Kluyveromyces lactis: one gene and its partner. Each later gene encodes a partner of the first gene's protein in a complex. Links are inferred from orthologs where the notes say so. Each region holds a gene or a part of one and is shown in the gene's direction. Other genes may lie near its edges.

The links.
Region 2: the proteins of QCR9 (region 1) and QCR10 are in contact, whole or in part, in a cryo-EM structure (PDB 8YIN), measured with the Saccharomyces cerevisiae proteins. The link is inferred for Kluyveromyces lactis from reciprocal best matches to the Saccharomyces cerevisiae genes QCR9 and QCR10. Residues at the interface, in NP_011699.1 of Saccharomyces cerevisiae: Arg13, Asn14, Ala15, Val16, Val18, Gly19, Phe22, Ala23, Phe26, Gln29, Thr30, Val31; in NP_011864.1 of Saccharomyces cerevisiae: Asn29, Leu32, Trp33, Gly35, Ala36, Leu39, Gly40, Phe42, Val43, Glu46, Leu55, Tyr56, Lys58, Leu61.

The regions. Positions count from the first base shown.
Region 1 is NC_006042.1:1,408,668-1,411,468, reverse strand, and holds QCR9 (ubiquinol--cytochrome-c reductase subunit 9), read left to right. Parts: upstream 1-1,407; coding exon 1,408-1,476; intron 1,477-1,975; coding exon 1,976-2,182; downstream 2,183-2,801. Other genes in the region: E3 ubiquitin-protein ligase UBR1, read left to right, coding at 1-1,013. UniProt on the Saccharomyces cerevisiae protein: Component of the ubiquinol-cytochrome c oxidoreductase, a multisubunit transmembrane complex that is part of the mitochondrial electron transport chain which drives oxidative phosphorylation.
Region 2 is NC_006041.1:1,221,746-1,224,380, reverse strand, and holds QCR10 (ubiquinol--cytochrome-c reductase subunit 10), read left to right. Parts: upstream 1-1,387; coding exon 1,388-1,396; intron 1,397-1,662; coding exon 1,663-1,890; downstream 1,891-2,635. Other genes in the region: KLLA0_E13861g (glycosyltransferase family 15 protein), read left to right, coding at 1-1,092; bifunctional hydroxyacyl-CoA dehydrogenase/enoyl-CoA hydratase FOX2, read right to left, coding at 2,282-2,635.

The DNA.
Region 1 (2,801 bases):
TCTCCCCTGAAAGCTCCTTGGTTAATGCTCCACATGAGTACTGCAGTATCATCAAATTAACCGATTTAGCAACTCATTTGAATACTTATGTGACTAATAATAAAAACATTACTTTGCGTGAAGAGAATGATCAAAAAATTAGAAATACTGTCAACAGACTTGATTATAAAATTTGTTTGATATGTGGTGTCAAGATTCACGCACGTACAGATGGCCTTGAAATGCAAAAGCACATGGAAAGGTGTTCCCATGGTTCCAGTGGGTTGTTTTTAATTCCTAATATCAGTCAAGTGTGCCTCTATTTAAGTAGACCGGACTGTACCGTCAACATTTCGGCCCCTTATTTGAACTCACACGGTGAATCAGGAAGAAACGCTATCGAACGAGGTGATCTAACAGTATTAAATCATGCTAGATATGAACATTTAACTCGTCTTTGGATTTCAAATGGTATCCCCGGTTATATCAGCCGAGTAATGGGGGACGAATTCAGGGTTGCGATGGCAAATAACCGAACATTTACGAGGAACATGTTTTGGAGACCTGGTGCTGCTTTCAACGCTGGTGGGGAGAGCAGTGACGAGGACCTTATGAACGATGATGAGTTTGGGAATGATGATCGTCCAGATCTAAGGTTTAGACAGCCTGATGTTGAATTACGCATCAATGGTGGACCATTCGGTGGAGATATCCCTATAAGATTACCAACCGAAAGAGGTGACATACATGATTTTTTCGAGTTTGTTCAAAACATGAGAGGGGGTATGCAAGGTGATGGCGCAGACATTCCGACTACAGAAGATATCATTGAACAACTGCAAGGAAATGCAATGAATGGATTCTTCGGCCGTGCAGATAGAAATAGAGAGCACTTTGAACTGAATGATCAAAGTGACGGCAATGAAGATGGTGAGGACGAAGAGCACGAAAACAACGCTTCGGAAGATCAAGACACGGAATACAGTTCTGCAGAAGAAGGTTTTGATTTCAACGAGTTAAATAACGTAGAATGAATAACTTTTTGCTCGTCACACCTCAAAATTGCCTTAACCTTATGGCACCATTCACAACTTCAATGTACCAAATATATATAGAATAGCACGTTATTTCGTTTATGCACACATCGATATAAGATATTTTTACTAGTTTTGCATAAATCTGCAATATGTGGAGTGGACTGACCACAGGATACTATGCCGTCCAATATCTTACAGAATCTTTTATTGTAGCCTGACTCTGTCCCACCCTTTGATAATTCATGTTGAAAGTACTCCCAGTACTAGACTTTTGCACGTGATTACTTCTGGATATCATACCATACGACCCAATTATATCCGAGTACGGAACTTTTCTTCAAATTTTTGAAAAACTGGATAAATGTATAAAACGGAAAGCTAACTTCGACTGATGCCAAAGACAAGGTTTAATAAGAAAAAGTTCAGCTCAACAGAAACCAGAACTCCCGTTTTAGAAATGGTATGTTAATGATTTGATTAGTCATGGATAATACATATGATATGCGTCTTTTCTGGATCTGAAAACATTGATTTTGGCGTAGATGTCTTATTTGACTTCTGGAATTGAGAAACCGAAAACTGGGAACTGAAAAAACTGTTTGTAAACACGATGCAAATTACATTGAGCAGATGCTAATGTACAATTATACTATTATTAGTGAAATATACTTCCAAAGCTGAATGTCTGCATATCCCGTGGTGTTTCCGATGCCTGTTAAGGTTCCCTGGAGGTATGACCGATATCTCCATATAATAGAAAGGCAGTCTCAATACTACATTTATCTTCGAAGTACGACCATGGCTTATCGCATGTATATCAGTTACATCAAACAAGTGAAGAATGGACACCTTCTGGGCAAAATCCAGCGGCTGTTTTCCCAGATCATTGCGGATTGACTACATGAAATATTAGATCATATTACTAACAATTATTTTTCTGAACAACTTAATTATCACAGTCTTTCGCCTCTACTCTGTACAAAACTGTCTTTAAGAGAAACTCTGTTTTCGTTGGTACCGTGTTCGCCTCTGCCTTCGTTTTCCAAGCTGCCTTCGATACTGGTGTGACCTCTTGGTACGAAAACCACAACAAAGGTAAGTTATGGAAAGATATCAAGGGTGGTATCATGAACGGTGGTGAAGAAGATGAAGAAGACGATGAATAAGTTTCTTTTGACATTTGAATTATATCATTTCTCATCATTATACTTTTAAGTGTCTTTTCATTGATGCTTTTGTTCAATTATTTTACTTCTTAGAATATACCGTCACTTCAAAACATATTTTAAAAATGTGGATACGCTACTGTCGGGAAACATTTATCTATCCGGCACTCCATACGTCTACCAGGCCTAGGACATCAACTTTGGAATGATGTTCTCAGATTTTCATAACATTCATCCTTTTCGCTATCGGAATCTCACTCGATTCAAGAGATAAAAAGGGTAAAACATATATGACCATAAAGCGTGAATATCTGCGCATTGATGTTCATCTTATTTGTTGTTAGCTGTTTTTCCCTCTACTCCTATTTATTTTCAACTCACTTATTTGAAATCTCATCAATCAATCACATATGCGGCTCAATTGTATTTAAATACAATGTATTGTTTGTGCTGTTTCTGTGTATTAATCATGTCTATACGATAATAAAAAAGAATTACCCATTATTTGTGTACCAATACCGTACTTTTGTTTATATATATATACCTGAATTTATTCGACGGGTATGAAATAGCATTCATAATGTATGATTATACGTAAGACGCGAATATAACATTATAC
Region 2 (2,635 bases), on another chromosome or scaffold:
CAGGACGAGAAACCAGTTGAAAAGTTTTATACTGATGATAGGGGTAATGATATTATACTTTCTTTGGTGCGAAACGAGGAATTGGATGGTATGTTGCAATCAATTAGACAATTCGAGAGACGATTCAACAAGAAATACCATTACGATTGGTGGTTTGTAAACGATAAAAAGTTCACTGAAGAGTTCATCAATGGTACTTCTAATGAAGTTAGCGGTAACGTAAAGTATATCACGCTTCCGAAAGAATTTTTCGACTATCCAGATAATATCGATCGTGGAAAAGCTGCCAAAGTTAGAGAGGAAATGGGCAAAAAGAAAATTGCTTATGGCGCTAGCGAATCGTATCGTTTCATGTGTAGATTCAATTCTGGATTGTTTTACAAGTTACCAGAACTAGCAAATGTTGAATACTATTGGCGTGTGGAACCTTACGTGAAATTCGGATGTGATATAAACTATGATGTATTCCAGCATATGAGACAAAACGACAAATTATACGGGTTTGCCATGGCCATGGGTGAAGACCAAAAGACGATCCCGACGTTATGGGAACATACGTATAAGTATTTTTTCGAAATGCACCCTGAACTTGTCAGCAAACGAAACAACTTCAAATTCATCTCGGACGATGACGGAGCCACGTATAACGGATGTCATTTTTGGACTAACTTTGAGATTGCCCATTTAAAGATATTCAAAGACCCGAGTTATGGGTACGAATCTTATTTCCAATATTTGGACTCACTTGGTGGGTTTTTCTACGAACGTTGGGGCGATGCTCCGGTTCATACGCTTGCATTTAGTTTGTTACTAGACGTTGACCAAATCCATTTTGTACCCGATACAGGGTACGCACACAATCCAAATCAAGATTGTCCAAGAGATAACCCGTTGAAAGAAATATTGAGATGCAATTGCCAAGCCTCAAAAGATTTCACGTGGCATCGTTGGAGTTGCGTCAGTAAGTTCTTTGATGTGAATGGACTGCAGAGGCCAGATACCTTATCACAAGTGAAGAAACACTACTCATATTTATTACCAGAAAATAAGAATATGGACAGGACACAGCCTATGACAACAGAACTCAAATAATTGGATAATTAACAGTCCCTGATTGCCAAGTGTGTCTGTCCTTATCCTTGTTCTACTAGTTAACCGATACAGATATGTAATCATGGTACCCAAATTTCCTATTTGCACGTGACCTACAACCAATCATCTCACTGTCCACGTCGTTCACAATGACATCAACACTATATGATAAAAAAGATAAAAAAGCTTCAATTCAATTAACTGGAGCATTATACCTTTACTATGGGATGTGCTTTTGGTCAACGTTGCAGATATCTATTTTAGAGCTGAAAAACACCAGTATACTTATTCCAAAATGGTTGCTGTATGTGTAGACATGTGTCTGGAATGTGGTTAATGTTTTGAAAGAGACTTTAGAGATGGAGTAGATCAAAACTCATAACTGAATTATCCAGATTTTTTTAGGTATACCGATATCTCCAGACCTTAAAGGTAAGGTTATGAGTACCTTTAGGAAGGATCTTTCATATACCTGATGTATCTTGGGCAAATATAAGCCCTTTGAAGACTGTTTTTTTACTAACATTTCATGTGTCAAGGGATATTTCCCTAAACAATTATCTTCATCAGTACGTTTCTAAACTATCAGCAAAGACTGCTGCTCACTTCGGTAGAATCACTTTTGAAAACTTGAAGAGTTACGCTCCAAACTTGGCTCTTTGGGGTGGTGCTTCTACTTTCGGTTTATTCGTGTTCACCGATGGCTGGCCAACTTTCCAAGATGCCTTCTACAGAAAGATCCCATACTTCGGTGACCACTGGGTTAAGGTTGTTGCTCCAGAAGACAGTCCTCAATAATTGATTATGCGTTATACGTATGATATTTTTTTGAACTTTCGTCATTGCAGGTTGCTTTCTCTCTAGATATGCTTAACGAGAGGAAGCATATTCTCAATCCCAAAGCCTAGAAGTAAGGAATTAAAATATTCTTCTGAGCACCATTATTATTATTTATTTTATGAAATAAACCCTCGAAAGAACGTTACTTTCGAAAAAGCACTTCAATTACACATTATTCATATAAATAGGACCCATCCTTTTACTAAACGTATATAAGTAAAGAGATATAAATTGTTTTATGTCAAAAGAAAACGGATTGGAATTGGTCGTTATTCATTATTTGCTACAAACTAATATACGTTGGGACATAATCATTACAGCTTACGCTCTCTGACACACAAAGCCAGAATTATAACTTTGATTTACCGATCAATTTAATGGCAGAATTGTCCAATACGATCTTACCAGTATTCAAATCAGTAGTTTGGAAAATGACAACATCGTTCTTCTTCCATGCTTTTACCTTTAATCTGTCTCCAGGGAAAACAACATTAGTGAATCTTGCCTTTAATTCATCGAATGGACCATACTTTTCAAATAGTTCCTTGGCACTCACACCAAGGGTACATAATCCATGGAGAATTGGTTTTGGGAATTTCACTGATTTGGCAAGTTGAGGATCAATATGCAAAGGATTGTAGTCACCGGATAAACGGTACAATGCAGCCTGGTCTTCAAAAGTAGAAATTTCAGCTTCAAAATC